Drosophila melanogaster: one gene and its partners. The protein of the gene in region 3 interacts with the protein of the main gene of each other region in a pairwise test. Each region holds a gene or a part of one and is shown on either strand. Other genes may lie near its edges.

Region 1 (8,769 bases), on a different chromosome or scaffold from region 3:
CTTATGGAAGAATATTTCAATAGATTATATCCACAGCTTGGTACAGTCTATACCAAAACGTCTGCAAATGGTGATAGACGCTAAGGGAGGGTATATTTTGTATTAATTTGTTATAATTTTTAGTTGACTTTTTGTTCTTTTCATTTTATAACATTTAAATAATTGTCAAAATACTTATGCCATTGCTAATTTGTAAAAGAGTAATTTTTGTTAAATCAACAATGAAGTTATCCATATGTTTATGTTAGCTAATTTAACAACGATAGTCTACCAATTTACTAAAATTATTAAACAATTTTGGTTTAAGTATACAATGAGTTATAAAGAAATATATTGAATATATTTCTTGTACAAATACTTATGCCCACTAGTGTATAAATAATATTTTTTAACAAGGTCTCTTACCGTCACAATTCCCCGTTTCTGCATTTAAGGTATAGCCTGTTCCGCAGCTTTGTAGGCGCTATATAGAATACAGGTTGTAACAAAAGCAACATGTTGTATACAGATTAATATACCGTGCATATATATGATCCGATCGTGTTATCACATCTCTGAGTTGGAAGGCAGTTGTGATTATTTATTGAACATTCATTTATATCTATGGAAGTCAAAATAAATAACAATCCTTATTTTACTGAAAAAACGTACTTACCAACACACTTATTTAGTGTAGCATCCAAATTAAATCCAGGCAGGCAATTGCAGGAATAACTTCCCACTGTGTTAACACATTCCTGATTACTATTGACATGACAGTTGTTTAATGATTTATGTGAGCACTCGTCAATATCGGAACAGGTACCGTTATGCAAGCTGAATCCTTTATCACAAGATTGAATTTTAACGCATTTACGATCTTTGCATTTGTAATCATCTAAGTGAATAGAACGCACTTCAAATTAAAAAAGCTAAAATAATAAGATTAAAGGAATGCTATAGATCGGATTTTTAATTTTCAGATACCGGATTAAGACTGATTAAAAACTAAAATAATACAATTTAAAAATGCTATATATAAGTTTTTTAAACTTTCAGATATCCGAACCGATTCATAGCTTATACCTGTACTCGCAGAGATAAAGGGCATACACGACATATTGAAAAATATGTTACAGGGGTGTGCTCTTTATTTCACGCCCGCAAACCGCCAAAACTGGAACACCCGACACTTTTAGGAAACGTTGTCATTTTTGTTATTTAATTGTTAGTCTTTTAAATACATATGCCAAAAAAGTTTAAGCCACGCCCACGGCCGAAAGCTGCCCAAATTGGCAGCACATTTGTGGATGGAATGTGTTTATTGTATAAATTTTAATTTTAAAATATCCCATTACCCATCCTAGCAGAGTAAAACTGATAGTCCAGTTTAGTCTAGACTATCTAGTTTTATCTGTATTTCAAACAGTTTTTAAAATTACCTTTACATGCATCGTAATCATGGTCATAATGAAATCCTGGTGGACACTCTTTTTCTTTCACATTTAAGCAGTGGTATCCGCCATTCGTATTATGGCAATATTGGGATGATTTGCAGTCATGAAGATCTTCCCGGCATTCATCAATGTCAATGCATTTGTTATCCAGTTTATCTAAATTGTAACCGCTGGGACATATTTGGGTTTTCATCGGAGAGCATGTTACGTTGTTATTATCTAACATAAACCCGGGGTGGCACTTACATTGGTATGCGTCGAAAGTGTTTTCGCATATGTGAGCGCAAAGGTTTTCAATTTTTCCACATATGTCATCTACCAATGAGTACAATTAATTATGATTTCAAATGATACACAAATAAGATATACTTACCATCGCCGGTAAGAACAATAGTTACATTCATATCCTCTTCAGAAACAAACGGCAATTCACCTTCATCAGTAATAGAATTAGCCTTATCGATTTCGTCGATACCGGGCTGGTCTTTAAAGTCAGCAGATCCGTAACAGCACGCTCGGTATGATTCAATTAAGAAAATAAATGAAAATAATGGATCTTTGCAATTGGCTTTACTCGCTTTAACTGCTAATCCGATTTGACAAGAACGACAACATGTCGCATAGGAGCTAGATGTTACATTTCCTTCTCCGTCACAGCGAGTACCGTCTAAAGCAGCCAGTCGACCTAGCTCGCAATCTTGATGGTCCAGTTCTCGAGAACAGCAGACTTCAAGTGTAGAATGACAAAGTCCAAGCCAGAGCTGCGGGATTATTGTTGGGGCTATGTCGATTTTTTTGCAAGAGGCGGTCGTACGAGCATGTCGAAGTCCATTTATACAGCATTTTCGTATATAACCCGATATGCTGTCTTAAAACAAAATAAAACTTTCACTTTCGCTTGATCACAGGATATTTTAAGCCAGAGTATATATTGGTAAAAATCAAAAGGTTTCAACTCTATAAGTATTCTTAGTCAGTATCAACACATGAGTCCATATGGTGATGTCCCTTGCCCGAGGCTAGCATTCTTTTTCGTCATTTATCAATTTCATATCCGAAATCTAAATACCTTAGTGTGGTAATAATTTTAAAGCCTTATAACATAATAACTTAATAACTTAATAACTTAATAACTTAATAACTTAATAACTTAATAACTTAATAACTTAATAACTTAATAACTTAATAACTTAATAACTTAATAACTTAATAACTTAATAACTTAATAACTTAATAACTTAACAACTTAATAACTTAATAACTTAATAACTTAATAACTTAATAACTTAATAACTTAATAACTTAATAACTTAATAACTTAATAACTTAATAACTTAATAACTTAATAACTTAATAACTTAATAACTTAATAACTTAATAACTTAATAACTTAATAACTTAATAACTTAATAACTTAATAACTTAATAACTTAATAACTTAATAACTTAATAACTTAATAACTTAATAACTTAATAACTTAATAACTTAATAACTTAATAACTTAATAACTTAATAACTTTATAACTTTATAACTTTATAACTTTATAACTTTATAACTTAATAACTTAATAACTTAATAACTTAATAACTTAATAACTTTATAACTTAATAACTTTATAACTTTATAACTTTATAACTTTATAACTTTATAACTTAATAACTTAATAACTTAATAACTTAATAACTTAATAACTTAATAACTTAATAACTTAATAACTTAATAACTTAATAACTTAATAACTTAATAACTTAATAACTTAATAACTTAATAACTTAATAACTTAATAACTTAATAACTTAATAACTTAATAACTTAATAACTTAATAACTTAATAACTTAATAACTTAATAACTTAATAACTTAATAACTTAATAACTTAATAACTTAATAACTTAATAACTTAATAACTTAATAACTTAATAACTTAATAACTTAATAACTTAATAACTTAATAACTTAATAACTTAATAACTTAATAACTTAATAACTTAATAACTTAATAACTTAATAACTTAATAACTTAATAACTTTATAACTTTATAACTTTATAACTTAATAACTTTATAACTAACCTAATACAATTTTAAAGATTTGCCCAAAATATACAATGGGCGGTTTCAGTAGGCAGGTACATATATAAATATTCATATCTATTGACATATAAGCAAGTATACTACACATTACTTACCACTGGCCATTGTGGTGGTGACATGCCCTCCAACTATCAAGAAACACATAAAAGCACATAGTTTATAAAACATAACGGGTTCAGAAATCAAATCCGGGTAAAAAATAAAATTAATATAAAGATGGGAGCTTTAAATGAACAGGTCAGGCAATGAATGAGAAAATAAAGAACGCTCATGTGCATACGCTATCTGGAATTATCTCAGTCACTTAGCAGCGCACACATGCATGTTTGTATATGCTTGTATGTATGTATAGCAAATATATAATTTTAGAACGAAGAGGATTTAAGACTGAAACGCGTGTGGGCCAAAGCAAGCTGTTGACATATGTATGTACATATGTATGTATATAAGCCTACGCTATACGTTACATGTATTTACGTACATAAATATGTTTATTGTTCGACGACCTGCTGTTATATTTTCTTATTAAACACACTTTTATTTGCTAATCCCAGGTTTTGTGAATTGGAGCAATGTGAATTATTGAAACTAGGTAAAGGTAGCAGAAAACGTTTAAGATATGATCAATATACATACATACATATGTTCATTCAATTTGGTCACATTCTTCTCTGGCATCCTGAGCAAGTGCTCTGACCGAGATTCGGGGGTTCGCAATCACTATTCGTATAATAATGCGGTCTACGCGCTTGATAATTTTGGTTGTGCGCCAACCGACTCTTAGGTTCAAGCCTCTCCTCTTTTTCCGTGCGATTTAAAACATTGTAGACGGTCGTACGGGATACAGAAAACATTTCTACTAATTCTGGAATAGATTTTCCCAACTGGTGGTTATAGTTTATTAATTGGGTAACTTAAACAATTAATCTCTTTCCAGGCATTTTATCAAATTTAATAATTTACTTTAAGCACGTTCGATCAGCAAAATTTCACAAGCAAAGTCAAAAAATTTCAATAGAAGCGTAAAAATGCAATACAAAAACCAACCACGGAAAAACCAAACCAACCAAAAACCACGGAAAAATCGAGTTAGTTCTAAGAAAAAAAACAAGACAAAGTACGAAAACAAAATGTGTAGAGTTTCTTGACTTGTATATTTAATATTTTAATTTGTTTTTTGATTTATTAGTATAATAAATATTGTTTAATTAAATTTCATAAAAAAATTCCGTTTAATTAAGCAAATAACTCTTAATTTTTACCATTAAAGCCAAAAATTCAACTTATTTCACAGTGTGCAAACAGTTTCTTGACAAACTGTATGTATATCTCGGTAAAACCAAAGACACTATTTTAGTGTCTAGACACTATTCTAGTGTCTTTGGTACAACCATACCTGCTTAACTGTGACCGTCGTTTTGTCCGCTCTTTAAAATTTGAATTTTTTATTATATTTTATATTTTATTATACATACATACCTACGTTTTATAATAACTATACACAGATAAACGATGACCGACGGGGGCAAAGAGCTTAAAATCGGCTAGCAATCTAGATCAACAACATACATATATATGTAAGTGTTTACTTATAGGGTCGGAAATGGTGGCTTATATGTAAATATATATACATACAAATATATATACTTTTTTTTGGCGCAGACTATTTACCCCTATTACCCATCAAACCAAACCAACTCTTAAAGATGTGAAAAAAAGTGACGATCGAACAATCTACATGCAAGGATCTGATGTCAACATTTGAATTCATTCAACACTCTTTAAAACAATATTTATTTATTTTTTTAAAACTTATTTATATAAATCATTTGATGGAATTGAAATAATAGCTGTTTTTGCCAGCAAATAGATTGAGATATTGAATATAATACAAATTTTCTTGATCAATCAAAACCATTTGAAAAAATTGATGAAAGTTAAAATTTTTGTTAATACTGAGGATTATATTGCTCATGGTTAGTTTAGAAAAAACTCGTAAAACTCAATACCGATTAAAATTTGGGACAGGTCCGATAGTGAAATTAAGGCTACACGTTTGAATGAAATGCGAAACAAAAGAACAAATTCAAACAATTTCGGCTGGTGGAGATCAAGACAACACATAGATAGATACATACCTACATAGTTGAAAAAGCTTTAAAACAAAGCTTAAGCGTTGTCACAATACCTTACAAAAAAGCTCTGATCTGCATCAACAAGCATGTAAAAGATATTTTAAACATACATACATTAAATCAGTCTTTAAACGTTGGTAGATCTGGTCGATTGATTCCATAGAGTACATTTTTGAGAATTATTTATTTAATATTCAGCTAGGATGCAGTCTATGACTATCTTTAATATAATTACACAGTTAGTTTTTTTATCGAAGACTTTAAATGGAAACTTAAGTGTTCAACCAGTTTTCCAAACACTTGATGGCTATGAATATACTTCGCAGTCGTTTTCGCAAAACTTACAGAGTGAAAGTCAACTGGAGATCGTTTATGAATGGAAATATTTGGATTTCCTATACTCAACTTTTGTGCAACGCCAACAATCTATTTTAAATGGGTAACAAAACAATTTGGTTATAACAGTTTCTTACAAATCAAGAGATAATTTGAAAAATGTATTAATATTAATAACAAATTGTAGTACTAGTAAAAAAATCAAAAAATACGCCTTTAATAAATTTAAAATGCTTGTATTGTGAGAGGTATAAAAGAAAATTCGAAAAATAAACTATTTGACGCTCTTATGTCACAAATAGTCGAGATCCCCGACTATCAGATATCCGTTAATCAGCTCGTGGAACTGCGAATGCGAAAAAAAATTAACAAATTAATATCTTATCTCGAAAACTATAGGAGACTAGTTCTTATAAATACTTTCTTTTCATTCGAATCATTCAGTGCGTCTCATCCATATCTTTAATATTGATGAATAAATCCTAGCATTATCTCTAATGCTATAGTCGAGATCCCCGACTATCAGAATCCCGTTACACAGCTAGGGAAAATGCAAATGCAAATAAAGATCGACGTACATGGCCAGTTCGACTTGGCTATTGATCCTTATAAAGAATATTGTATATGACCATATAGAACATGGTCAGAAACGCTTCCTTCTGGCTGTTACAGACTGTTACATAAAGGATTATCATAATCTGGCTTTATGTGTTATTCTACTGCGCTGAATTTACTGTCTAATTATTATAATATATTAATATTTACAGAGACTTTGTACCAAAAAATAATTTACCTTTAGGCATTGATGTCCATAATAACCGCCTGTTTGTGACAACTCCTCGTTGGAAGAATGGTGTGCCTGCTAGCTTAGGTACACTGCCCTTTCCTCCAAAAGAGTCAAGCCCGGCAATAAAGCCGTATCCAAACTGGGAGGCTCATGGAAATCCAAACAATCCTGACTGCTCAAAACTGATGTCAGTTTATCGAACAGCTGTAGATAGGTGTGATCGAATTTGGCTAATTGATTCTGGAATTGTCAATGCTACAATAAACTTAAATCAGATCTGCCCACCAAAAATTGTTGTGTATGATCTTAAAAGTGACGAACTGATTGTTCGATACAATTTGGAAGCTTCTCATGTGAAGCAAGATTCGTTGCACTCCAATATTGTTGTGGATATTGGAGAAGATTGCGATGATGCGCATGCTATCGTATCGGATGTATGGAGATTTGGTCTACTTGTTTACAGCCTATCAAAAAACCGCAGCTGGCGCGTGACCAACTATAACTTTTATCCGGATCCCTTTGCTTCGGATTTTAATGTATACGGATTAAATTTTCAATGGCTGGATGGTGTTTTTGGAATGAGTATATATTACAATAAGAAAATAATGGAACGCGTTCTTTATTTTCATCCAATGGCAAGTTTCAAGGTGAGTATAAGGAGTATATAAATAAAGACAAGAAAATGGCTGGGAATTGATTTGATATTGATTTTAAAAAATGCCTTTCTTAACATTGTCTTTATTGTCTAAATAATGGCTCGCCGACTTACTTTTAAAAACCCCTCCTACAGCTTACTACTTGATCAGTCTTACTTAAGGTACTTAAATAAATCTAAATCTTAAGTAAGCTAATTATCTGCAGCTTGTAGGGTCCGAAAAGGCTTATTTCTGTTTTATTTTTATTAACCAAACTAGCAATCCCTTATACTCTACGAGTAACTGATATAATAATAATAATAATTGTGATTATAATACTTTCTCATTTAGGAGTTCATGGTGCCTATGAATATCTTGTTAAACGAATCTGTGTGGCAAACGAATACTCAAGAGTACGCCAAGTACTTCATACCAATTGGAGACCGCGGATATAATTCTCAATCATCTACATCAGGAGTTACAAGGAATGGCATTATGTTTTTTACACAAGTTCATCAAGATGATATTGGATGCTGGGATACATCGAAACCATACACTCGAGCACATTTGGGAAAATTTCATAATATGGAAAACTCAAATCTTATTCAATTTCCAAATGATTTAAAAGTAGACAAAGAAAAAGATCAAAATGTATGGCTTATAAGTAACCGACTACCAATTTTTCTATACAGCAATCTAGATTATGGAGAAGTAAATTTTCGAATTTTAAAGGCGAATGTAAATAAGATTATTCGCAATAGTGTTTGCAATCCGGATAATAGTTATATTAATACATCAAAGTCAGCTTTTGTGTTGATAGAAGAAGGACAGTGTTTTTGAAAACTATGGTAAATAAACAATTACACAACAAAATGTTGTAAATTTTTGAACAACCTTGGTATTTGCGTCCGTTACAAATGATACTCTAGTACCTTTTTTGAAGGTTTGGGTCTAACAGATTTTTGCGCTTTGTTGTGTCCAAGCAATTAACTAAATTGACTAAAAGAATAACAGTTTTTAAACGTGTACGAGTTCCAAATTGGCATAAGATCGGACTTTTAAGAACATACGTATCTAAAATTAGCTTTCTAGCTTTTAAAATTTTAAAGATCACGAAATTAAAATGGACGTACATTGCTAGATCAACTTGGCTTGCGATTCTGCTCGAATATTCGAAGTATATTCTTTATGGGTCAGCAGTTCTTCCCTCCGCCATTCTAGTTTTCAACGAATGAATATTAGGGTTCAAATTCAAACGTGTATACAATTGTTTGTAATATATTTATATTTTTTAGTCGTACTGTGAAAGGTTATATCCAATTGTAAGAAGTAACAGGTAGGGAGC
Region 2 (8,207 bases), about 13 Mb from region 3:
CCAAGGAATCGGGCTTGGCCGTTCTCCTTTTTCGTCAGCCAGTGGTGATTGGGCTCACCGCGCTTCAACGTGCCATACACAAAGACCCTTGCCGCCATTCTCAGCTTTTCAGCCATTGCGCTTCCCGCCGCCAGGCTTATCAGTTTCAAGCGGTATCGTGCTATCAAATCCGACCTGTAGATTGCGCAGTCGACATAACCCGTCCGCTCTTCTTCTTGCTGCCATTCGCACCGAATCTAGCCTCCGTACACCGCGAGAAACTGAAGCCCTCGGCACTGGGCTGTGGAAAATTACCAGGGACTGCTGTCCAGCATCTTTACTTCTATAATAGAACGAGGGGCATTTTATTTTATTTTAAATTGCTTCAGTTTATTTGCTTTGTTTGTCGAAAACTATCAAATTACAGACTACGTTTGCTAAAACCTAAATAATGCGTATGGTACATATGTATCAGTTTATATCGTTTGCCCATATATACGGGTATATATCGATCAGTACATCTGCGTCTGCAAGTACGGTCTTAAAATGCAACTACGGTAACATAAGATTAGTGGCCAGGCTATCCAGAGAACATCCAAACAAACGGGCGACACCACAACCCACGTTATTAGTTCTGGGCCTCGTAGGTGAGGTCGTCCTGGGCCGGATGCTTGTGGGTGCGGCGATGGCGCATAATGTATGGATGGGTGGTTGAGTTCTCGTAGCTGGACAAGTAGCGCAGACTAAGTAGGTTCTCCGGGTACTTCTGCAGCAGGTACACCCAGCATGGAACGGTTCTGGAAAGGAAATTGTGACCCATCACACCACATTGCTGAAATGACGTCAGATCCGACTAATGCTCACCCTTCTCCAACGCCAATGTTCATATCGTGCATCTCGCGAGTGTAGATCTCCTCGCAATCCTCCAGGTTGTCCAGGGAATTCAGCATTCGATCGTCCACCTCGTAGATCTCCCCTGTTACGTAATATCCCACTCCGGGCTTGTTCAGCAGGAAGGGAATGTTGTAGCGGGTGGCGATCACTAGCGGCAGCTTTTGGGTGGTGGTCGCCTTGCACCAGAACTTAGCGAAGCCGTTGCCAGAGCTGGCCAGGATTGAGTTGCTGGGCTGTCCGTACTTGAGGGCGCCGTACACGAAGAGCTTGCTCAAGGCGGAGGAGACTTTCTGTGGAGTGCGTGAGAGGTGGGTGTGGCGTAAAGACAGATAAGTAGGGTTAGGTTAGAGATCTGATAAACTGGTGGTATCTTGTGAGAGTTTGCTCTACTGGTATCAATCGATCGCCGTGGCTTATCAGGGATCAGGGATCCGAACACTTTCCACTGGCTAGCCCCCGCAAGTTATTGATAAGGTTCACGAAACGTCTCGGTGTTTGGCGAGATTCTCAGCTGAACCGCTTTTTGGGCGAGAATGGGATGGCTCAACCGGTTTCGTGCATTCACACGTTTATTCTTAAAGTCTGTTATTGTTGCTAATATATGTACGTAGCTGTTTCGTATTTTTGGGGCTGAGTGCGTGCCTCACAAACTGCGCAGCAGTTACGCCTCCACAGGTACATATGTATGGAGACACTCGCTATCTGTACACATGTAATTGGCACATTAATAATTGCTTAAATCGGTTTAATCATTGCAGTAAATGGATAACACACGCAAGCGGCCTTAAATCAATGTCATCAAACGGTTGCATCAAAGCATCTTGGCGAATCCGCTTACATAACCCAGAACAGGCATCAGCTCACACTCATACATATGTAGATATCTTAAAAATTCCAATAAACTATCTGATAACCCTCCGATGGATCGGATAACTTAAAATGCCTTAAATTTAGTTCCCAAGCTCTCAGGCTTTTACACGCTTTCCATTTGGGGCTGCCCACTTGCCAAGGACGAAGGATAAGGGATGCGTATACACAAGCTAAAAGTGTGCATGTGTGCGTGGGCTTCACATTGTGCTGCACTCTTAATCAGCTTACCTTTGCTTGGCCCATTTTCTTGTCGAACCGCCTGCAGATAATTAAAATTGCAAATTGCTGCACTAAGCAAAGGCGAGAGAGCTCTTCGGGATTGGATAGGATAGTGTGCACGAGCTCCAGCAGAGATACAACCGCGCCGATGGCCAGCAAAACTCCAACTAAATCGTGATGGAGAACAACGTCGGCGGACACGGTGCTGCCGCCTGCCACTGTTGTTGTTGTTATTGCTTCTGGCACAGTGGAGCAAAGTCACAACGTGTTATTGGTTCAACTTATATAAATATATTGCATATGAAAGTATTAGTCGACACTACGTGGAAAAGCAATTCTTAAATAATAATTATGGTATATATCCAATTTCATCAAAATTGGAAAAAGGAAGAAAATATTATTTGCCCTGTTTACTGACTCTGCCCAGTGTGCCTTGTCGTCAAGACCAAGAGGCCCGCCTCTAGTGGAACAACAACAAGTAAAACAATAACACGCCACACGCGCAAAGCTAAAAATGACGGTTCTGCCGACTGGTCTTTATCTAAGAAATATCCTCTGGGGGGGGGTGTGGGTTAGTTGAAATACCCGAAATATTATAGGCCCCGCAAGCACAAACACTCTAAAATTCGGGCATTATCAATGGCCTAATAACATCTGAGCACAGAAGTCCCTCTTGAGATCCACGCTCCCTCTATGATACCCCCCCCTAGCAGCATTTTAGTTCGCTGGCGACGCCTCTGGAGAACACGTACGCATGTCTTCTTCAGTTTCTCTGCTGATCGGTGGGGATCGGAAATCGTATACTGTATATTGTAATATTCTGCACTTCCATGTGTCCGATTTGTTATAAACAATAACAAAGTCTCTTTGTAATTGATTGGTTGATAGGTGGGGGAGGGGGTGCGGCAACAACAACACCAAAACCAAACCAGTTGACATGCGCTCTTTAAAATCAAAATCTCACTGCGCTCTCTGAATTGTGCCCTGCGAAAGGTAAGGCATTTTAGTTTTCGGACTCAATACGAACTATCAAGCGTAACTACATATTGTATATTGTTGCCCATTCATTATGAAAGGGTAAGCACTCAATAAAGTTAGTGCTTCTCATATTTCCTCAGGTTAGATAAATCGATATAATACATATGCATAATGCGTTTTTGAAGTTGGTATTTTAATATGGACAAATTATAGGTTACTTTATGAGGCGATTAAAGCTGTTTTTATATTTTATGTTATTCCTTACAGTTTCTAAAGACAAGATTGCCTTTCCATAAAAATTTTAAATCAATAAAAAGAGTAACATAGTCTTGTAGCTTAATTCATAAATAATCATGAACCTAAACAATAAATACATATATTAAAATCCATACGACATCAGCGGGACCTAAAACAGCCCCATTGCTGTCAAACCTCCTCTCTAGGTCAATAGTTCCCGGAGCAGATGCCGTTGTGAGCATAATGGTGCTGTTTGTGCCGGCAGGCACACAAGTTAGGAGCGAAGCAGTAAGCTCGTGGTCCGCAGTTGCTGGAGGTACAGTTTAGGGCAAGTGTGGCGAAAAGATATAGCGACAATCAAACTTACTGATCACAGATTGGCATGCATTGCTGTCCATGAAGCAGGCTGTCCCTTAGCTCGTATCCCTGGGCACAGATGCACCGTCCGTCGGAGGAGCAGTTGCCATGTGTGCAGCGCCTGGAAATGAGAAAGGGCACATAAACGCATACGTATGTATGTACACTTCCTAAGCGATAAGGTGAGGAGCAAGAATCATACTCACCCAAGGCAGGGGTCCAGCAGACGGGGAGCCCTGTGGCGGCACTTTTGGGAGAGGGGATCAAAGTAGTAGTGCCTGTCCTCACGGCACACACAGAGATCTGGTGCGGCGCAGTAGCCACCTGCCGCCACGCACCCGGGGAGGCACTCTGCGGCACACACCAAACCATCCGGATTACCCGCCATATACTGATCGGCACAGGGACAGGATCCGTCCTCGAAGCACACTCCATTCAGGCAGACGATGTTGCAGCGCCTTACGCACTGGCGGGTGTTGACCACCAGCATTTCGTAGTCGGAGCAAAGCTGTGAAGGCTCGTTGATCTCCCAGTAGCCGTAGTCGTAGTAATAGTGACCCTCTACTACTGCCCACAGCAGCAACTGTAGGAAGACCATCCGGCGCGACATCTCGGCTAATGGCAAGTGATGAGCCGCGGATTGGTTCAGGCAACGAAAGGGAGAGTGAAAGTGCTTTCCGGAGGCTGCGCACTTTGTGTACGGATCTCATTACGGCCTCGGTCACGATCACTGTGCACAAACACAGTGCGGATGACGCAATGGCCCCCAACACACTCGGCCAACTGATAACCGCTCGACCGAAGATCGTTTCGATCGGAATTGCACATGATCAGCCCGAATCGAAGCGGCGGCGTGCATTACTCACCCGAACGGGGGTGGAGGCAATGGTGGGGTTGGTGGTGGTGGAGTCGACAGATTGGATCCAACTCGAACGCGTGTGCAGAGAGCCAGGGAGAGCTATTCGAGGACTGATTCTGAATTCGGAATGTCTGGATTTCCACGCTCTCAATGAGAAATCGGCGCCCACATCTGCATAAGGCACTGAAAACATCAACATTTAAAAATATACAAAATACATTCGAAAAAAATTCCTCATTAAATTACAATATTTTATATTAATTATTTCCTCTAAGTAAACATTCTTACCAAACATAGTCATTCAGTTTCTTAAATTCTTCCGGCTGATTTAAATTTATACGATAAATACGTAACGCATAAACCAACTTAGAACTCGATTATTACGATTTGATGCACCAAACCTTTTCTTCCAGTGCTCCGATTGGGGCCTGGCTCCGTTTGCGACTGCAGCTGGCTTTAATGGGCTCCATTCATTCGGTCGGTCGGAGTCGGCGAGAGATGACGCTGGCGAGGAACGGCAGCAGACACGCCTGCGCGAACAGAAGCTCAGATCCAAAGTTCCAGAGTGTGGAATAAAGTTGCCAAATAGCTGCAGCCGCTTGGGGGATTAGCGAAAACGCCATCGAGGCAGAGTTATTTTCCCGCTAGACTCTATTTCCCTTCGCTTCGACGTCAGCTGCGAATTTTGTTCTTGACAGAGCCGCGGACTGCGCGGTCTACCGCCTCGCCCTCGCCCTCGTGCTCCCCCTATCCCACAGTCAACCTCCGCTCGCGTGTGAGTGTGGGGTGAATAACATAAAACAGACGGCAGAAAGGCACCGCATAACAGCGAGCGGCGAAAACATAAAATAAACAATTCCATTTCGGGCTGGTCAGCTGGGAGGAAGTTCTGGTCTGGCCCCGCGCTGCTGGTGGTGGCGAGTGGTGCGACGGTGGTGGTGGGTGACGGCAAAGTGGGTGTGGGATGTGCGTGCCCAGACAAAGTAAGAGCGCTTAGAGTCTATTATCTATCCGGCAAGTGCTGACGCGTTGCGATCGCCCGTCGTCGATCGCTAAATCTGTGTACTCCGAAAAATCTGGTGCATCAAAATGTGCTACGTTATTATCACCATCGCCAGTCTGGTGTGGTTCCTCTGTTCGCTGGTGGCCGACATGCTCTTTGCTGTGGCCCTGGTCACGCCCAGGTGGCTGGTGGGCCCCGCCCAAGGAACAGACTCCACCGCCAGCTCTCACCACCAATCCTCGGTGGGCATCTACACGCGCTGCAAGGTCATGCAGGAGGGCGGATTCCAATGCGGCCGCTTCGACTTGGACGGACTGGCCACGGACAGTAGCGTTTACCCCAACGAATGGAAAGCGGCAATGTTCTTCGTCATGCTGGGATTTAGTCTACTCTCTGTAACGGTGATCCTGACCCTGATCACCTGCTGCCGCCAGTCGGCCTGTGGCAAGAGCATACACAACATGACGGCCTGCGCCCAGGTCGTAGCAGGTAAGCAACCATTACTGTGATATCCTCGCAGCATTTAAGTTTGCATTGTTTATAGGAATATGTATGATGTTGGGTCTATTTCTGCATCCGATGGGATGGCGAGCGAACCGGATTCAACGTCTATGCGGCATGGATGCCGAACCCTTTTACCCCGCCGACTGTAGCATAGGTAATTCTTTGAAACTTTTCTTAGAAACTTACTAAACTTAATCCTTACAGGAGTTTCATTCTACTGCGGAATCATTGGGGTACTCCTAACATTTACTGCCGCCGGTATAAGCCTAAAGGCAGAGTCTTCCAATATGCGAACTCGAGTTCGCAGACGCGTGGAGGCGGGCAGTAAACTGGTCTGTATTCCGTAGCTGCCTTTGAATACAATAAGAACACTATCTGACTTGGAGCGAGCATACTTAACTTCATTCTCGAATTAAATTTATCATTAGCATAAATAAACTTTTAACATTCTACAGTATAGATACAAGGTGTGGGTGGATATCTATACGACCCTACTTGTTGCGCTTGCCCTTAGCTTTGCCAGGAGGCTTGCCCTCAACATTAGGCTTTGCCTTAGGTATGTAGACACCATGGTTCGTCTTCTTTAGGTGGGCAAACAGCTTGTTCTTGGAGTCAAAGACAAGCCTACAGGTAACACAAGTGTGTTGCGACTTGGTCGGGTCGAGGTCCTCATCTCCGCTTTTGGGAGCCACTGTTGCCTCCTTTGTATTCGGTTCCGAAACAGTTTGCTCTAATAGCTTAACCTTCCTAGTCGTCGTCTTTTTGCTTTTACTCTTTTTGCTCGCTTTTTTGCCTTTACTCCAGTCTTCATCCTCTGACTCGCTCTTGATTGCCTTCTTTTCTATTGGCTCATCTGGTTCGTCACTGCCTTCCGCCTGCGCTTGCTTGACAGCTGACTTCCTTGCCTTTTTGTTTTTTTTGGTTCGTTTGGCTAGCGAAGATTCTTCTTCGCTTGGAACCCCGTCGAAAGATATCTGATCCTCAGAGACTTGCAATTCTTCCAGCGATTCCTGTACGCCCATTAAACTGTCTTCATGGGGTTCATTGTGGAAAGCGTCCTCTTCTTCCTCCATTTCCTGACACAGCCGGTCGACATTTTCATTATGCTTCTTGCTTTCTTCGTGATTAGCACGCGCCTTGGCGTTTTTAAATGTCTTGTTGCATGCCACGCAGTAAAGATCGTCTACATACTCCACTTCGTACTCCTCGGCTTCCTGGCCGCCTTCATGGTCAAAGTCCTCGCCATCGTCGTCGTTCTCGTCTTCATCCGTGTAATCTTCTGACTTGCTATCGTACTGCTGCTCTAACTGCTTTAGCTGCTCCTCGTAGCCCTCGTTAAAGACATTATTTTTCCTGACGGCTGCCAGTTCTTCCTGGCGCTTCCTTAACTGCTCTTTGCGCTTCTCCTCCTGCTTAAGTCGATTGGCCTCGACGCGTTCCTCAAGCATGCGCCTGTAGGCCTGCACTCTGGGATCCCTTTTTCGCACAAAGTTGACTAAGTTGCGAACCTAAGTAAATGAGGTAAGTAAAATGTGTCTCGGAAGAAAAAAAAGGGAATTCATCGCCCACCTCTTCGTTGCGTTCCTTGCGGGCAGCCTGAACGATCTTTTTCATCTCCTTCTCCACCTTGCGTAGGATAAAGCGCTCTTTTATTTCGCGAACATCGTAGGGACACAGCCAGTCGTAGGTCTTCCGGGTACTGTATGCCTGCCAAAAGGCGTAGAACGGACCCACCACATCTTCGTAACTACTGTTTGAATGACCAAAGTCAGGCGCCATCCCCAACCGGTCGTCCTTGTCCATGAACTCTAAGTCCTCCGAGGCGATTTGGACGAAGACATCGGTGTACACGCGGTAAAAGCCGTGCTCATTGTCGCCATAGCCCTTGTAACAGGAGCTCGTGAAGAACTGGAACACGTCCAGGCAGTTCTCCGCATAATCGGAGTTCTTGCCGCGCAAGATCTGCTCGCGATGGTTGTCGTACCAAGACCGTTCCTGAGGATCAGACAGAACTTCATACGCTTGCTGGATCAGCTGGAAGCGCTCTTTGGCCTCCGCCAGTCGGTCGGGATTCTTGTCCGGGTGCCAGCGCAGGGCCATCTTACGGTACGCACTCTTGATGTCCCCATCGTTGGCGTTTCTTTGGAGCTCGAGCTCCTCGTAATAGCAACGCATGTTTCTTAGAACAACAAATAATTTTGATAGAGTTGCCAGATGGGCGGAAAGACAGCTGGCGCTCACAGATGCGTTGTCAGTGCTGCAAAGCGCTGGAAGGGGAACGTAAATATCTTGCAAAGTAGCTTACTT
Region 3 (6,715 bases):
ACGAGGGTAAGGTCAAGGAATTGGACCCAAGTGAGTTAAATCTTATCTGAATACGGGTTATTTCCAATATATTTACAATCGCATAAGAAATCGATCCAAACGCAAAAGTAAATTGGAAATCAATACATCATTAGTCATTAGATCGCAAGACGTCATCGTTTGATTGCATATCTGCCACTTGATTAAGTCTACTAAAGTCAGTATTAAATTCCACAGCTAAATCATTTGCTAATCATTGAAAATCCACTCTGCATTTGTTGTTGTATGGCCAGTTTTATTGTTCATTCGCACACGTTTTGTAATTGAGTAGAACCAGGTAATTCGATTGTAGAAGTCGATGTGATTACCTAACCACGTCGGTTGTTGAACCCGCCGGGCTGCTCTTGTGGCGGCGGCGGAGCGGTGGCCAAGTAGGCCAATGCCTTCTGGATTGCAGGCGGGATGGGTGGCGGCGTGGGCAGGTGGTCGCCCTGCGGCTGGAAGCCATTCTCGTCCGCCAGATAGGTTATCCGAATCGGAATGCCCTCGGGTGAGGTGTACGAGAAGGAGCCCTGTGCGACCTTTGGAGCGGTAAAAGGGCAAATGCAAGTTAGTGCTCGTTTCGTTTGGCCAACTGGTAGCCGGCAAATGCCAGGCACGACTGTGAATGGAGTTCTCCTACACCCACCTGGCCGGCATTATCGGTGCCTGGATTCTTGAGGTAGCCCTCCTCCTCGGCGTTGATGCCGTTGCCCGTCTCGTACAGATACTTGTAGGAGCCGTCGAAGTTGACCTCCTGCTCCTGTCTGATAATTGGAATGGGTTCTCCCGGCGCTTGGCCTCTCACTTGTGGTCTGGCCTGGGCCAAGCTGAGCAGCAGGGCTGCTATGAAGAGCAGCTGAAAGCACGCGGATGCGATATCAGCATGGAGTATACCCAAGTTGATCTCTTCCATCTTACTGTGTATTGCATGTCGAACCGAGCTGTATCCTGTGATCCTGGGTCCTGGTCGTCTGCTCCGAGTTCGTCTCGATCCGTTACTGTGGTCAACAGAGGCGACTCTTTGCATATTTATACCAAATCGCTTGAACTTTTGCACACAGACACTATTGCAGTTGGAGATTAAAGAGTGAACGCCTAGCATTTTGAAGACCCGCCGATCGGAAGCCTCTTTTAGGTGGCTCTTGTCGGAGGCCAATACCATCTCCCATGGAGCGCAAATGAACCGAACCGGACCGGACCGAATCGAATCGAATCCACCTACAAGTGCACGACCCATCCGATATGCTGCAATTTGTCGAATGAGTTGTCTACATGACAGCCACAGTGGGGACTCTACTTTATCATTAGAGCAAAGAAAAATATAGTTTAGTATAATATCTCACAACATTAAGTTGTTATGCTGGAAGTTATCATCAGCACAGTTGCATCTTCAATTGCTTGCTGCAATAGAAACTATCCTAGCTAGCCATCGCCCACTGTGCACCTGTATTGCGAGGGGCGTTGGAGGCACTATGATCATCTCGGATCGTGTTGAACATGACCAGCTTGACATTCATAACTCATCCTCGGCAGCGTGAGAGGAATAGGGACAGACTGCTGCATTCCTACATCAATTTGTCAGTGCAGTCATTAGACATTTGACTCAACGGCTTGATGATCATCATTGGCGGGATTATGACTGCCACCTGACCATGATCATGTCTGGCTGGCCAACTGACTTACTCACCAGCTAACTGAATGTGGCAAGTGCCGCTTGACCTTTGCGGCAGCCGAACAGATGTTTCTTGAACAGGTCCGGCCAAAAGGCGGTAATGCCTGAGCCGGGGCGTTCCGTTGCCAGTTGAGCAAATGTCAGTTACCGCCGAAGTAGAAATGGAGGTGGAGGTGGAAGTAAAGCCCCAAATGTCCCACCGCCCAATGCTACGTGAGATGGTTAACTTCGATTGCGGTATTGTGTGAGAGCAAGAGACGGCGCTTGTTTGTTTTTTGGTATTTGGTGTTTTTATTTGGCTATTCAGGTGATGAGGATCGTATCAAGTGGCAGCATCGTGGATCGGATGGGCGGCTCTATCCGGACTTCTTGTTGAACAGCAGGGACAGGAGCTGTTGCTTGATTGGCTTAGTGGTGGTGGTGTCCGTGGTGTAGGTGTAGGTGGGGTAGGTCGGGGTGGTAGTATAGGTGTACGTCGTCGTCGTGGGCGAAGAGGGCGTTGTGGGAGTGCTGGTTGTAGTTGCGGTAGATGCCATTGCGATGGCCAGGACAGCGGAGAAACAGACGAGGACAGCGAAGAACTTCATGTTGATTGGATTTTTTGGGCTTTTAGGATTGCTGGCTGGCTGTTGCTTATCGACGGACGAGCTGCTGAACTCTGAGTGTGTCTTTCGCTGGTCCAGGCCTCACTATTTATACCCATATTTTGACTGCGGCAGTCGTAGTATTCCCTGTAATGTTTGCACAAATGGTTCCTTTACCGTTTGCTACATTGCTAGCTTTCCCCCACCAATGTTTACCGACCAACTCATTGTGAAATGCATCCAATGTTTGATCCCCTTCCATTTTCCGAAAAATAAAAGTTTTTCGGGTTGGGAGTGTCAATGACTTGGTATTCTTATTAGCTAACTATCCTAGAATATATGCCGTTCGTAGCTACTGGGCCACTCCATCGAGAAGGCAAAGTCCGGAAGTGTGGCAAGGAACTCCAGGCTCAACGCATCCCGCTTATCATGTGGACTGACATAGTGTCCAGAGACGCCCATCTCAAAGACGGGTTCATTGAAGTTGCCATCGTCCTTCTAAGAATCAGTTAGTTAGTATAGTTATCAGAACGACCCATTAAATACGCACAGAAAGTTCCACGAAGAATTCGATGGGAGTGTTATCAATACCGTAGGTTAACATGACCTCCAGAGGAGGCCTGTAAGTGGCCGGATTATCCAGCATTGCGGGAGCAAACGTCCATCGGAGTAGTTTTACACCATCCAGTGGCTTGAAGAACAGACCCATATTTGGCGGACCAGTTAGCCGGAACTCATAGCGCACCTGATAGCCACCGGACAGAACTGTCTTGCTAAGGAACTCCAAGACCGTTGGATAAGGCAGTTCCACGGGCTCCTCTCGAGCAAGCCAAAGTGCATGCTCCCGGGCACTACAATATCGGTAGCAGGGAATACCGCACATCAGCTCGGAGTCGCAATCCTCGCCCAGGCGTACCAGGTTGGTCAGGTTCATGTGATCGCGCAGAGGTGCCTCTTTGTTTCGATCCCCCAGATGGAAGTAGTAGCCAGAATCCTCGTGGCTGATGGAACCATTGTACTCGAAAAATTTGCGATGCACTTGCTGCTCCGACAAAGAATAGAACTTAGTCGTCTTTCAAAGGATGCTTATTAGTGTTTCCCTTACCATGAAGTCGGCACGCATGACATTTGTTTTGGGCCGATACGGGAATCCGACATCCGAGACGGCAATCATGCAGAAAATAAACATAACCAGTGCCAGACCACCCAGCATGCAGTTCGGTCGCCGAAAGACATTGATTAAAGGAGCCTAAGTGAAACTGATTAAGTAAAGTAGTCAATAAATGTGAATAACTTTCTTACAGCAAAAGATAACGCCAAAATTGTGCCAAAACCACATAGAGCGCCGATTAGTATATCCGGATTGGTGGAGACGCCAAAGCGACCAGTCATCGGAATGAGAATAAGTATGAACATGTGGAACAAGTAGGCGTGGTAAATGAAGGGTATAATCTGGAAAACAATCAGCACCAGTGACCACAGATAACCTAAAGTGTTGGCATGAATCATTAAAAGTTCTCCACGAATATATAAGCTAACTTACCGCGACAATGGAGACGGGTCAGTAGGTTAATGATCAGAGCAGCAACGTAGAAAATGAGAGAGATCAGAAATAGATAGGCACTACGGTATTTAAGAGCCGTTGCACCCAAACACAAGATGGCCAAAAGGACACAGTTCGCGTGACCCACAATATGCAAGTAATAAGTATGGGGGATCTTGTTCTGCAGAGGATAGCTTAGTATAACAAAATAACTTCGTTAACAAGTGATACTACTTACACACTTCGTATGCGTCAAGTAGAGGGTCATGGGCAGTACAAGGCCAATAACCGATGGACAAATGTACAACCCAATGACCAGCCAACTGTTGCTAAAATAGGTCAACGTTCTATTTCCCCAATCATAAAAGGTGGCCATCAGCAGAGGAAAGGCCACGGCGAGGAGAGCACCAGCTAGGGCTAGCAGGAATAGGAGTCCAAAGACGCCGGCATAGGTGCCCATAGTCTGTCCAGTAACCCGGGACATTCGCCACAACGAGATGCAGACCAGCAAAATGGCACCGAACGAGAAGAAGAGATTCAGGGCCAAGCTAGTCGACTCCTGGTAATGGACAAAGAACAGTCCAATAAAGTCGAAGAATACTGCATGTCCCGCCGCGTGTGCCTGTTGAAAGATTACCATGAAAAATGGACAAAAGCCACTCGAAAGAGGAAACCCACCTCTGTGTCGTACATTTCTTCGGCATTCGAAATACTCCATACCAAGGCCAGTAAATTGTCGCCGGAATTCTGCAGGGAATCGAGACTTATCACCGCGTAGCGATCGAATTTCGTGTGATAAACGAATCCATTGTACACGCCGGCCATGTCCAAGCCTGAAAGAGAAGAGCTCCTGAGTAGTGTGGTTGAAAAGGATATTTTCTTGCGCCGAGATTCCCACCTGGCACAACTCCAAAGTCCCGAAAGATCCGGAAATCAGTATCCGATGGTATGATACCAGCCTCGAACATCTCCTCGGCCGTTGTGGTGGCGAACGGGTGCGGGGCACTGTTTCTGTAATGCTAAGATAAGGCGGAAGATTAGATTAATTGATCAGCAGCCAGACGGGTGATATAGCAGCCCCCATATCGGAAATGCGATCAGAGCATTCCCAAATATATGAATCACCAATGGCGTTGCCGACTTTCGGGGGGTTTTTAGCTCCACAAACAGGGGAACTTACCTCCATCAGCCAGGGATGATTGGGACCGCCCTGGAAGAGCAAATCACGTCCACCAGCGCCAGCGGAATCCAAGTTCAGTAGAGCCCTGTTTGGATAGCGGATTAGAGATTCCGGTGATCTCCGCCTGAGACTCAAACTCACTTGCAGTTGGCAGCCCATCTGTGCTGCGTGATGAAACCATGTGATCCCTGCATTGGCTGCTCTTCGGCACCATTGAAAAGGAATATAATCGGATGCAGGAAGGGATCCCCTGAAACGGCGACCAGACGCAGTACCTCCAGCATTACGACAACCATGGCAGCATCATCTCCGGCACCTGTGGACAATAGTTATTGAAGGCCTATCCGAAATGCAGTCCATCATTAGACTCACCAGGTGAACCCGGCTTGGTATCGTAGTGACTATTGACCAAAAGGTAGGAGGTGCTATTTGAGCTCTTCGTACTCAGTCTAACGATCACATTCTGCACACCCTGATAGTGATTCGTTAGGCCTTTGATCAAGTAGGATCCGGATGCCCGTTGCACCTCCACCTCCATTTCATAGACATCGTCTCGCAGCACCTGGCGCACTTTTTCGATTTCAGCGAGCAGCAAATTCACAACTGTGACTTCATTATCAACATCACCCACCACACGGGGTCCCAATCGACTTATTTGCAGCAGTATTTCCTGAGCTCTCTCGGCCACGAATTGTCCCGGTTTATCCGCCTCCTCGGAGATTTTGATTCCGGTGGGCAAGGCCTGGAAAAGTGGATATATGACGGCGAAGAAGAGACCCACCCAGAACAGGAGGTAGATGGGGGCAAAGTACCAGGAATACTGCTTGCAACGGATCTTGTCCTCATCCACCTCGATTATTAGGTTCTCAGACCCCGAAAGGGACTGCTGTTGAAAGTAGAGAATATTATAATTGATCTCTTTGGGATGATCCTAAATGGGTAAATCAATATGAAATCACACACCTTGCCATTCCTAGTGGCTCCCATTTTTTTTTGAAGAGATTCGAGAACCGTCCAAGCAAGAGCACCTTTCACGACTCCCGAAGCACGACTAACTCGCCGGACATCTCCATCCGCAATTTAAAGTTTCGGCTCGGGTTTATGGTGCGATATGGTTGATATCTTCAGCATAGTATAAAGATATTCGATATTTATGGCGTAATGGCGCGTGTTATTCACGCTTTCGTATCAGTATGCGTACATACCTAACACAACTTTCGTCTATGCCATCGATAAATTCGCAACCCAGCGAAACTAGTGAGGGCCTCGAGGGACCAACGACGTTATTTCCCCCAAAACAAACCAAACCAATCCAAAAATCATAACCGCTGACTTTGCCCCATATTGTAATCGCACTTGTTGACTATTGCGGATTTATGCATTTATTGTATCGCATCTGGTCGGCAGTGCCAAAAGTTAGGGCTGTAATTTCCGCTCCTTTCAATCAGTTGAATAGGTTGAATACCAAATCTTTGTTGCGCCAAAATCGCCTTATTGAAAAGGAAGGACTTCTATGGTAGGCAACGAAATATTTGGTATAATATCGAGTCCGCAAAGGAAGCAAAATGTGATTAGTCATGTCAATATCATAAATGTGACTTGGTCAAATTTCGCTTTTCATTGAAACTAGGTGGTAGTTAGTAACAGCTATCTTTTATCGTAACCAATTTGATAACGTTTACTTGCTATCCAAAGAGCTAAGATAAATATTCCAT

The links. The genes of interacting proteins can lie anywhere in the genome.
Region 1: the proteins of CG13159 (region 3) and CG31999 interact in a two-hybrid assay, tested with the Drosophila melanogaster proteins (one large-scale study listed by BioGRID).
Region 2: the proteins of CG13159 (region 3) and CG15861 interact in a two-hybrid assay, tested with the Drosophila melanogaster proteins (one large-scale study listed by BioGRID).

Annotation. Positions count from the first base shown.
Region 1 is NC_004353.4:222,136-230,904, forward strand, and holds the start of CG31999 (uncharacterized protein), read right to left. Parts: upstream 5,614-8,769; 5' UTR 5,541-5,613; intron 4,416-5,540; 5' UTR 3,700-4,415; coding exon 3,627-3,699; intron 2,305-3,626; coding exon 1,810-2,304; intron 1,752-1,809; coding exon 1,422-1,751; intron 878-1,421; coding exon 656-877; intron 602-655; coding exon 519-601; intron 464-518; coding exon 406-463; intron 1-405. Other genes in the region: yellow-h, read left to right, coding at 5,870-6,105, 6,770-7,436, 7,776-8,264.
Region 2 is NT_033778.4:24,940,279-24,948,485, forward strand, and holds CG15861 (uncharacterized protein), read right to left. Parts: upstream 4,924-8,207; 5' UTR 4,682-4,923; intron 4,577-4,681; 5' UTR 4,145-4,576; coding exon 3,741-4,144; intron 3,656-3,740; coding exon 3,545-3,655; intron 3,488-3,544; coding exon 3,385-3,487; 3' UTR 3,114-3,384; downstream 1-3,113. Other genes in the region: CG2811 (uncharacterized protein), read right to left, coding at 1-116; Tina-1 (troponin C-akin-1), read right to left, coding at 608-776, 844-1,163, 1,972-1,986; CG3770 (uncharacterized protein), read left to right, coding at 5,483-5,885, 5,941-6,054, 6,105-6,247; CG2790 (uncharacterized protein), read right to left, coding at 6,392-7,408, 7,470-8,075.
Region 3 is NT_033778.4:12,370,934-12,377,648, reverse strand, and holds CG13159 (uncharacterized protein), read right to left. Parts: upstream 2,364-6,715; 5' UTR 2,281-2,363; coding exon 2,050-2,280; 3' UTR 1,971-2,049; downstream 1-1,970. Other genes in the region: Cpr49Aa (cuticular protein 49Aa), read right to left, coding at 348-560, 668-877, 940-951; CG13160 (uncharacterized protein), read right to left, coding at 2,608-2,775, 2,828-3,319, 3,383-3,526, 3,580-3,764, 3,821-4,001, 4,059-4,442, 4,499-4,653, 4,719-4,839 and 4 more.